3 linked regions of the Arabidopsis thaliana genome follow. The protein of the gene in region 1 purifies or fractionates together with the protein of each later gene. This does not show direct contact. Each region holds a gene or a part of one and is shown on either strand. Other genes may lie near its edges. The genes, in order: RRP41, AT2G25355 and CER7.

Region 1 (3,753 bases):
ATCACCAGTACTAAACTGAGCCATACTATACTCACACAACACCTACCAAAACATACAATTAGCAATAAGCATTCCATATTCACCAAGAACAATACTAAACAAGATCAAAGCATATACATACCACTGCATGGTCGTTCTTCTTTTGCTGGCTCTTGTTTTGAATCTGAAGGAGCACATTAACAGAAATAACCAATTCGCTGAATTATACAATTAAAGTATCAATCTTGATAGGTGAGTAACAGAGTAATCAAGTACCTCTCTTGGACCATAAACAGCTGCAATTACTTTGGTATTACCCATCTCGAAGACAGCAGAACTGGAAACAAAGTTGGAATTTTTGTTCATATAAAAGTGCCGAATATAGAACTGAGATACGGAAAAAGATAAGAGACAGATTTTGAGTTTTACCCGTCAGCCTTAGAAACAACTCCAACTTCAGCTACGATTTGCCTCATCTGAGATTCATTACAAGCAATCACGAATAGACCGATTAACTTGTGAAGGCAGTGGCTTACAAAGACAGTGAATAGAGATGCAAACATACCTCGTTGAATCGGCGACCATCTAATCGAAGACCTTCAGGGTTTACGTACTCCATTGTTGTGAACTCTAGGTAGAGATAATCAAGGATGAGAGCAATGAAAGACAGAAACAGAACAAGTTTAATACTTTCTGATCCCACAGAACAGGGAACAAGAGACGAATTTACCTCTGCCAGTACTTTAGCGGCGGCGATATGACGGAGGGCGATGGACGGCGTCGAGAGAACTGAAAGAGTGTCGACAACATAAAGATTAGGGCTTTTTGGTTCCTTTTTGTGAATTAAGTGAGATTTTAAGGGTAAAACCGTCAAATCACAGGAGGATTTTTTTTTATAACTTCTAGTTTATGAAGCCAGGCAAATTGGTAATTCGCTTGCAAAGAAAAGTAAAGCTCAAAATTGCGGGAACATGCATGCAATAAGAGAATTAAGAGTGAGATCCCTTCAAAAGTATAGCTCAAATTGTTGTTGTTTTCTTTTATCAAGGCTTTTCTTGTTGACTCTGTTATTTCAAGTATGTATTAGTAATAGTAATATAGTATCTAGATCAATTTCTAAGTCAATAGTATATTGATAGTAGTATCAACGTGTCGGGAGTTACGTGTGGCAATGCCGACAAATGAATGCAAAGTGAGGTATATGAAAATGACGGGTTCCTGACGGAGGAGATGATGGAATTATTTACTAAGGTTTGCTAACATCTTCTTTTTTTATGTATGTATGTTTGGATCAAAAAGTATACAAAACCATATTAGACAATTTAAGAGAGACCACTCTCTAGTCTCTACCTAGTAAAAGTAGTACCTACTACGACTATCCTAACGAATGTCATGCAATTTAATGTTCCATATACAATTTTTTTTTTTTTAATATATTAAAAACAACCCAATAGGGCATGGGCTAAGACCCAATACACAGATGAAATCCAGTTACAAAATAGGTTAAACAGAAAAAGTCACCGACAAACAAAGAGGTTCGAACCTTGCTGCTGGTCGGAAGCAGAGTGGTCGGAGCCTTATATCTGGCGGACTCAAGCATCACAGCTTTGCGGCCGCAGACGACGGATCGAGAAACGCAGCTGGAAGATTCCGGTTTCCATCTGCACCTATCTCCGCCGTCGCACCAACCCACCACAACTCTCCCAGAAAGCTAACCACTCCGACTTACCGGTTCCGCGATATCTGTTCCATGCCAAGCAACCCGATACACTAGAGTTTAACCCCTCTCCGACTTAATGTTCCATATACATACTACTAACTATTATTAAATCAAACTGACTGTTATTTTTAAGGTCTAACTTTTAACACGAGTACCTGACTAATCCCACGTAAAAAAAAAGTCTTGAAATCACATGTATCTTTTTATAAAATCACAGGTGAATTCGTGTAAGTTATATAAGGTTCAAAATAAAACAATATAGAATTACTGTAAGTTACAAGATTTGGTATATTAACTTGTAGAATTATCGATATAATAAAAGCTTATTTTTCAATTATTATTTTAGGACCAAATCTAGTCAAAGCTCAACCATTAACTATGGAAATCTAATTTCTAGTTACCTTTTTAATAGTAGCTTTTTCTAATAAAGTTTCTGATAAGAGACTTGGTCTCCAAGCAAAAGATCATAAATTTTTTCCGAAATTAAAAATATATTTTAATATTAAAGACGAGATTTTATTACTCTTTCAAACACATCGTTAGATTCATTACCATTAAACTTCACAATTTCCATATTGGGTCAATGCGAATTGACACATACTCGTGACCAATCTCACACGCGTGGAGCCCACTAGCCGGCGCGTGTAGCAAACGTAAAACAGACCGCGCGTAAAAGAGTTAAAAGTTGCTTGGAGACCAAGCTATAGATTAGGACAATTGGCTCTACTTTCGGTACGGTAACTACCACGTGTCATAAATCTAACGTCTCAATCTGAGATGCGGAAAGCCGTTTCTGGATCCCCCATTGGCCGCCACGAAACCGCCCTTAAGCATCGTCCCTCTTTACATTAAATCCAAATCTAATTCCCGGTTTATAAACTCCATTAACCGGATTAAATTTCAATAGGTTAAGCTTTGATAAACGTATGTCATTTCACCAACTATATTTTAAGATACGTTTAGTTATAAGGTTGAATGAGTTTTGATTGGGTCAGTGTCTCATATCATATGAATAGTGTTGAACACGCATCAATTTCTCTGTAACAGTTAAAATCTAATTAAATTAATTACATAGAAAAAATCACGTTACTAAACAAAAATCTCCAAAAATAGTGATGAGTTAATAGTATTTAAGAAGGATGTTCCTGAGAAACGGCGATTCTTCTTTAACCTTTTGACTCTTCTTCTCTCTCTCTCTGCAAATTCAAAACAGTGAAAAAAACCTCTCTTCATTTTTTAACTCCCTCTCTCTCTCTCTCTCTATGGAGAGACGAACGAGACGAGTGAAGTTCACAGAGAATCGTACGGTCACAAACGTAGCAGCTACACCATCTAACGGGTCTCCGAGACTGGTCCGTATCACTGTTACTGATCCTTTCGCTACTGACTCGTCTAGCGACGACGACGACAACAACAACGTCACGGTGGTTCCAAGAGTGAAACGATACGTGAAGGAGATTAGATTCTGCCAAGGTGAATCTTCTTCCTCCACCGCGGCGAGGAAAGGTAAGCACAAGGAGGAGGAAAGCGTAGTGGTTGAAGATGACGTGTCGACGTCGGTGAAGCCTAAAAAGTACAGAGGCGTGAGACAGAGACCTTGGGGAAAATTCGCGGCGGAGATTAGAGATCCGTCGAGCCGTACTCGGATTTGGCTTGGGACTTTTGTCACGGCGGAGGAAGCTGCTATAGCGTACGATAGAGCCGCGATTCATCTCAAAGGACCTAAAGCGCTCACGAATTTCCTAACTCCGCCGACGCCAACGCCGGTTATCGATCTCCAAACGGTTTCCGCCTGCGATTACGGTAGAGATTCTCGGCAGAGCCTTCATTCACCGACCTCTGTTCTAAGATTCAACGTCAACGAGGAAACAGAGCATGAGATTGAAGCGATCGAGCTATCTCCGGAGAGAAAGTCGACGGTTATAAAAGAAGAAGAAGAATCGTCGGCGGGTTTGGTGTTCCCGGATCCGTATCTGTTACCGGATTTATCTCTCGCCGGCGAATGTTTTTGGGATACCGAAATTGCCCCTGACCTTTTGTTTCTCGATGAAGAA
Region 2 (3,753 bases), on another chromosome or scaffold:
TGTCCAACATTGACGAGGGACTGAGTATGAGTCAAACTATTATCGAGCAGCTAGAAGATTTTCCTAAGCACAGAGTCCATTTAGGATATGCCAATGATATCACAGAGACGAATTCGTACAATGGAAAAGCTTCTAAAGGTGTATTTCGAGCAAACAACGACTTACGGTGTCGCTCTGAATCAGAAACTAGTCACTCAGTGATGCATGATCGAAAGCTTTCTCTTGAGAGCGCTGACGGGGTTTCGTTACTAGCCGGTGAGACATCAACCTCTAGTATCTTGAGCTCCATTGTACATAGCCAGCTGGATGTTAATCATGATATATCTGTTGGTAACCTGGAGATACCGGGTAATGGACGAATAGTTCTCCCGCTGAAAATGCATAGTAAATTAAATAGGATTCTATTAACTATGAATGAGAGACTTCTCAATTCAAAAACAGACATGGAGGATCTTATAGCGAGACTAAATCAAGAGACAGCGGTGAAGGAATATCTGAACAGAAAGGTACATGATTGAAAATAATAGTACATCTGTTTTCAAGTTTGTTGGTAATGAAATCTGCGCTTCTTCCTTTACTCTTCATGCGAATGTCATATATGTAATCTTGGTTTTCCTGTTCAGGTTGATGATCTGGAAGTGGAACTTGAAACTACTAAACAGAGAAACAAAGAGAATTTGGAGCAAGCTTTGATGACCGAGAGACAGAGTGTTACCAAGATGCAGTGGGATATGGAAGAACTCAGGCAAAAAACTTTTGAGATGGAACTGAAGTTAAAGTCAAAAGAGGTATTGAAATTTGAAATAGTTCCATCTCAATCACATTCTTTCCACAATTAAGCAAGTTCACATCGAGCGAGTAATTTATATCTAGCAAAGTAACTTACTGACACCTGCAAACTAATACAGGATGGGAGTTCAGATTCTAAGACGTCAGGAAACTCAACAATCTCTGAGAGCCATGAGCTGTTACAAGAAATGGATGCCACAAAACAGCAACTGGAAGATCTTTCTAGACGGTATGTTGAACTGGAGGCAAAATCAAAGGCAGACATAAAAGTGCTTGTCAGAGAGGTCAAATCCCTGAGACGTTCACATATGGAAATGGAAAAGGAACTGACTCGATCGCTGACAGAGAAGTCTGACACTGAGGTAAATCTTAAGCTTGTAAATAAAAAGCATTATATTATTGCTTGCATCATCCGCTTGTGGTAAATGTATATGATCCTACAGAAAGAACATCAAAACATACTGAAACATGTTTAATTTTTTCAGAAACTCCTCCAACAGGAAAGGATAATAGTCGAGAACACGCTAGAAGCAAGAAGAAGGCTGTATAGTGACTGTGAAATTCTCCACGACAGGCTTAAAGTGAACAACACAAACTTGTCAATGGATGAGTCCAGTAACAACAGAGAAGACTTATCTGAAGTATCAAATGCCTTGCAAGATCAGATTGAGGTAAGCTATTGGTGCATCTCCTTTAATATCTGTAGCAAGAAAAATCGTATTCAAATGTTTACATTCGATAACCATGGCTCAAAATCGCCAAGCTGGATTCCTCGTTTTAAATTTGAAAGTGGCATATTTTCAGGCGCAACTGCTGTTAGGGTTTGATGAGACTGCTTCTGAGGATGAGCTGAGGAAGATAATGGCAGATATGTATGAGGACTGAGGAGAATATCAAATTGAGAAAACATTTGAATTCCGCAATGCAGGTTAAGAGCTCTGTGAAAGAGGAAAACGAAAAACGCAGAAGGTGAAGAGCTTATAGAATAGATATACCATGTACAGAGAAAAGTAGAGCAGAAAGTTGGTTAGTGACGTAAATCCCTTATTTTGAATATGCGAGTCAGATTCTTCTTTATGTAATTAATTGATGTATATGCACACACATGTCTACATCAGATCACCTAATCCATTGTAAAATTCGAAACCATCAGTGTCATTGTTTCTTGTTCACCAAAAACAACTACCATCCATCACTCATGGTCCACAGAGCAGTCGTTGAAAATCAGTGAAAGAAGTGTCATTTTGTCCCAAAAAAAAAGGAAGGACGAAGGAGACTTTTTAGTTGACCAAATCATATGGATCTACTAAACCGAAATAAACCACTCATAACCATTATAGTAAATTACTTGGTTCGGAGTTTTTAATTTCCGATCGTCTTCAACATCACCAAAGCAAAAAACTTTAGGGTTTTAGTGTTTTTTAGGGTTCTTCTTTCTCTCTACCTCTCAGTTCTGCTTTTGCTCTGTCTCCCTTCATTGGATAAATCAATTGGTGTTGTTAGCGAAGAAATAAGAAAGATGGGTACTGAAGTTTCTACCTCGCCGACAAGCCTCATTGATCAGACTGTTGTGCGTATTTTCTACTAAAACCTCTGCTTCTTTGATTATCGTTTTAGATTGGGATTACATTGAAAGATTAAGTTTTGTGAGATGGGTTTCAGGTTCCAGGTGATGTTGTTCTCGATTTATCAAACATGACTAACCAAACAATCAAACTCGGCAGTGGTCTCCGTCAGGTTTTTAACTTTCTCAAAATCACTTGTTCCAAATCTTCGATCATTTTTTTGGAGTTTGAAATTTGTTGTGTTGAGTGTATGAATGAATTAATGAATGTTTTGCTCATTATTAAACAAGTTATGTTGAATTTTGGATCTTGCATTGGCATTTGAGGAATAAACTTAATTTGGAATCTACAGTTTGCTTTTTGTTGGGCTTGCAAGGCTAGAAGATTGACATATGATTTTGAGGTTTTTTCAGGATAATGAGGTGATATCTGTTATGAGAGCTGGGAAGTTGAGGTACTCTAAGCCAAATAAGTATTGGGTGGAAAGTTCTCATAAAAGGGTGAGAACTAATTAGTTTCTTGCTGGTTGTATTTTGCAATAAATTGGTACCTTTTTCCTGATATCTCCTAGCTCTACTAGTTATTCGATTGTTCATCTGCGCTTAACTTGTCGAAAAAGTGGTGGTTTTGCTCTCTAGTTTGAAGAATTACTCCATGTTACTCGATTTTGACTCTGTTATTATGTTTTTTTTGCAGTATGTACCTCGTCCTGAGGATCATGTTCTTGGCATTGTGGTAGATTGTAAAGGAGAAGTAAGTACTCTAAAGACGATCCTTAAATTTTTGTTAGAGATCCTTTTCCCTTGGACCCTCTGAATCAAGCATTTTTTCTCTGTATACAGTTCATTTAATGCAAAAATCATGTATAAAGAATATTGATTTCGGTTGTGCTCTATCATTATCCAACTTCTATCATTGCTCAGCTTGTTTGTTAGTTACATGTATATGTTAATAAATACTTGAGATCATGGATAAAGAAAACGGCATAAGCCTTTATTTAGAGTGTTGCCCCTAGAGTTCTCAGCCAAAGTCATGTTGCATGTAACAAAGTAGATCATAATATTTTGAAAATCGTTTTGACACATGTTTCATTGCAGAACTATTGGATAGACATTAAAGGACCACAATTGGCTCTTTTGCCTGTGCTTGCATTTGAAGGAGCAAACAGAAGAAATTATCCCAAGTTTGAGGCAAGTACCTTCTGAATATACTTCTTCAATCTGAACCATCATCAAAATAGTCTCTAGCTGGTAACTGCATTCAGTTGTTTGAGATGTTAGTATTGCCATTACAGTGTATTGAGAATTTCCCTGGAAATTACAATGGCTTGTGTGTGATATTGAAAGGATCCAGTACTTCATTGGTTTGTTTATGAGCATAATAGGCACTTTTACTTCGT
Region 3 (3,753 bases), 450 kb from region 1:
TTGACTTTATGAATGTTTTTTTTCTTGTGTGTGTAGTTAAGTAGACTCATGAATTACGACTGAGGCCACTGATTTAAAAAAAACATATAAAGATAGTGGATGTGGTAGTGAGCTCACTATCACATTAGTTTTACGTACATGTATTATTAAACATGCCGAGCAATTAGTGTGTACTTATTCTATATTCTCATGATGTTAGGATTTGAATTGAATGTGTGTGTGTGTGAGCCTCCATAGAAATTAACAGGAAGACATAAAGAGTCTTCTTTTTTTCATTGGTTTAGTGGTGGCATGAGTATCTACTTGATAGCAGCCAATCTTTTTATACTATTCTTATCTAAGTAATTAATAGATATATATCCTTTTTTATAATGGGTTCCTCAGCCGTGAGTAATATACTTAGCTCCCACACTTACCTAATCTTTTGTATTTTTTTTTTCATTTTTGGGGGAAATGATTATGATTATTGCTGATACATTACAATATCCATATCCGTTTCCACACGAATACCTTTAGACTTTGGACAATACTATAAATTAAAAGCTTACAAATTACAAGGAGCTGAATTCTTCTTTTGGCGCCTTCCATTATGCACATAGACTAGTCCAAGTATAATTGTACACATAATTAATTTATCAAATAAAACATAATTAAAATAAAAGTGTATATATATATATATATATATATATATTAAAACATGCGATCTTTATCTTTGGAATAAAGTGGGGGAAAAGAAAAAATAAGCAAACAGAAAGAAGAAAAATGAAAGCAACAGCAGAAGAAGAAAACAATGGAGATTCATATTGTTCACTCTTACTAAACATTTTTTCTTACATCTCAATCAAAAGAAATGAAAAAAAGAAGAAGGAAATTTGGAGAGCATGTGGGGAAAGCTGAAATTGTTATACCAAAATTAGCGAAACGTACAATTGAAAACCAATCGGAAATAATGAAAGTAAACCTTAACTAATTTCATTCAAATAAGTTAAGAGAGTTACTTATAATGTAATTTCAAAATTTAAAAAAAAATTGGGCAAACAATATCAAAGATTTAAGCTGTCTCCGGCTCGTTCATGTAGACTACATGATGTAGTTTGTGTGTGCGTGAAGCAAACATAAACATGGTTCTATCAGTTTCTAGATTCATCCCAACATGTTTCTTGTTCATAATTAAGTAATAGTAAACAATCCAAATTAAGATGATCATAAAGATACAACCATATCTTCTTGACCCTTACCAAATAAGCAGTTTTTTTTTTCTTTTCTCTTTTTAAAGAATTCGATGTGGTTCCAAGTTTAGGAAAGAGGACGGAACTTAAGAAGAGACACTAATTAAGTGACTTAAACCAAGACATGGTGACGAAAAGATCCACAAGAGGCAAGGCATCTCGCGGAATCTGTAAACTTTTTTTGGCTGCTCATAACAGACTTTTACGCTTGATAGTTTCTTTAGAAATATAGTTCTCGTTGAAGACTTTAAATAGCTGATGATTCTTGAAATAGAGATCGAAGGATTGAAAGCTTGCTCAAAATTCTCTCATTGTTAATAAATAATCGTTTAAAGTCTTAATTAGTCCAAATGTTGAAGAAAGTACAGAAAACGATATATTTGAGTGGTGCTGCTGGAACAAGTAGGATAAAATACGTACAAGCAATACAAATCTAGTAAGTGTACATGCATGATCTTCAATTCTTGAGGATTTTGTGGGAAAGATTCTGAAAACTGTACTGGCTTGTTGAATATTCTAAATCTAAAATACAATTTATCAGTAAGTAAGCAAACATGTGCGTCAAAGTTAATCTTTCCAAGCTGAAACAACAATTGCTGAGATATTAAAAAGTTCAACATACTACTCATTGACTTTCTTAACATTTACACCAAAAAGATAAAATAAAAAACTCATTGACGTTTTTCCCTTTGAAGTTAGTAGCCCAAAAAGCATCAAGATAATGTCTGTAAGCCCATGGGCTTATATCCATTATAATTTTTTTTGTCAAATAACAAATAATATATGAAACGACGTCGGTAACAGCTGAAACGACGCCGGTGTTTGTTGATCCAGAACGACAGCGTTTTTAGTTATTCACCCTCTCGAATTTTTCCGAAACCTGTGTTTTCCCATCACCAAGCTTTCTCTGAATCGCCGCCGTGTTTACATTTACTGTTGTTAAGGCCGAGAGATAGATAGAAAAAAACATCTGTGCGATTTTGCCGCCTCTCCCTAAAATCTTTGGAGCTCCTTCGTAGTTAGCCGGAGGTGAAGTACAATAAAAGAAAGAAGAAAGTCCAAGTGTCTCTTCTCATCTCTTTTCTCCAGTAGGTACGTTTTGGTTTAATTTACAGAGTTGATTCTAAGCCTAAGAGAAGGTTTTCTATCGATTAGAGTGTTTGATTTGCTGTAAGGGTTGCTCAAAGTTTTGATTTTTAGTTTACTAGTGATAGCAGATAATGGAGGGGAGATTGGCTAATATGTGGAGGTTGACTGTTAACGAAAGTAAATTCGTGGAAACTGCGTTGCAATCTGAGCTCAGAGTAGATGGTCGTGGCCTTTATGATTATCGCAAGCTTACTATTAAGTTTGGCAAGTAAGTGCTCATAGAACTGCTTATTGATGCCGTTTCTTTTCTGCACTTTGTAGGCTTTGTTTGCTTTCTTTAGCTCTAAAGCTTCCCTCTTTGTCGAGTTTTGTGATAAATTTGAATGTAGATAACTTTGTTCAGTCTATTACCTCTGTTAGAACGAATACTAGCATGCTTTTCTTTTAGTGTTTGTAACCAAAGACAGCTTTTAATCTCGTTTGAATTAACAGAGAATATGGTAGCTCGGAAGTTCAACTTGGTCAGACTCATGTAATGGGTTTCGTGACTGCTCAGTTGGTACAACCTTACAAAGACAGACCTAATGAAGGGTCTCTCTCGATCTTCACGGAATTTTCTCCAATGGCTGATCCGTCTTTTGAGCCTGGTCGTCCTGGCGAATCTGCAGTGGAGTTGGGACGCATTATCGATCGTGGTCTAAGGTAAATGTTTTTTTGGACAAACTTTGTTGATGCTGCAAGAGTATTGCTGGCTGTTCTGGTTGGAGTAATGGTAAGTTGGTCTTTGTGTTGATTGCAGAGAAAGCCGTGCAGTAGATACAGAGTCACTCTGCGTTCTAGCTGGAAAGATGGTTTGGTCTGTTCGCATTGACCTTCATATCTTGGACAATGGAGGGTAAGTTTTGTTGGCTACAGTATATCTCATTGAAGGTTCTGGTTTTAAAATGATCTTTAATGCGTGTTTTTGTTACACATTTATGTATAGGAACTTAGTTGATGCTGCAAATATTGCTGCTTTAGCAGCTCTCATGACATTTAGGAGACCCGACTGCACTGTAGGAGGAGAGAATGGTCAAGAAGTGATCATACATCCACTAGAGGTTAGTCATATGTTTTCGGTTTAGAGAAACTTGTAAGAATTTGTTAAGTGGAGAAGACAGTTCTTAACTTTAACTGTTTGTTCTATCTTTACTTTCTTTTGCAGGAAAGGGAACCACTTCCATTGATAATACATCATCTCCCAATAGCCTTCACGTTTGGATTTTTTAATAAAGGCAACATTGTGGTAAAAACAGTTGTATTTTTAGTGAGAGTCTAGTTTGCTTTTTCTTTTTTCTTTTCTGAGATATAAAGTGTGATGTGTTGTTATATGCAGGTGATGGACCCAACTTATGTTGAAGAAGCAGTTATGTGTGGGAGAATGACTGTGACAGTT

The links.
Region 2: the proteins of RRP41 (region 1) and AT2G25355 purify together in Arabidopsis thaliana (affinity purification with mass spectrometry; 2 studies listed by BioGRID, with this or other methods). This does not show direct contact.
Region 3: the proteins of RRP41 (region 1) and CER7 purify together in Arabidopsis thaliana (affinity purification with mass spectrometry; 2 studies listed by BioGRID, with this or other methods). This does not show direct contact.

What each region holds. Positions count from the first base shown.
Region 1 is NC_003074.8:22,802,313-22,806,065, forward strand, and holds the start of RRP41 (3'-5'-exoribonuclease family protein), read right to left. Parts: upstream 1,793-3,753; 5' UTR 1,523-1,792; intron 881-1,522; exon of another isoform or gene 769-880; 5' UTR 710-768; intron 610-709; 5' UTR 599-609; coding exon 545-598; intron 456-544; coding exon 409-455; intron 317-408; coding exon 256-316; intron 164-255; coding exon 122-163; intron 43-121; coding exon 1-42. Other genes in the region: CRF6 (cytokinin response factor 6), read left to right, coding at 2,962-3,753. UniProt on the Arabidopsis thaliana protein: Non-catalytic component of the RNA exosome complex which has 3'->5' exoribonuclease activity and participates in a multitude of cellular RNA processing, maturation and degradation events.
Region 2 is NC_003071.7:10,799,083-10,802,835, forward strand, and holds the start of AT2G25355 (PNAS-3-like protein), read left to right. Parts: upstream 1-2,008; 5' UTR 2,009-2,308; coding exon 2,309-2,359; intron 2,360-2,451; coding exon 2,452-2,526; intron 2,527-2,767; coding exon 2,768-2,854; intron 2,855-3,050; coding exon 3,051-3,107; intron 3,108-3,451; coding exon 3,452-3,544; intron 3,545-3,753. Other genes in the region: AT2G25350 (Phox (PX) domain-containing protein), read left to right, coding at 1-506, 624-788, 909-1,151, 1,275-1,616.
Region 3 is NC_003074.8:22,351,796-22,355,548, forward strand, and holds the start of CER7 (3'-5'-exoribonuclease family protein), read left to right. Parts: upstream 1-2,104; 5' UTR 2,105-2,321; intron 2,322-2,429; exon of another isoform or gene 2,430-2,446; 5' UTR 2,447-2,449; coding exon 2,450-2,586; intron 2,587-2,810; coding exon 2,811-3,020; intron 3,021-3,117; coding exon 3,118-3,213; intron 3,214-3,303; coding exon 3,304-3,418; intron 3,419-3,522; coding exon 3,523-3,603; intron 3,604-3,693; coding exon 3,694-3,753. UniProt on the Arabidopsis thaliana protein: Probable 3'->5' exoribonuclease involved in the regulation of cuticular wax biosynthesis by controlling the expression of CER3. May act by degrading a specific mRNA species encoding a negative regulator of CER3 transcription.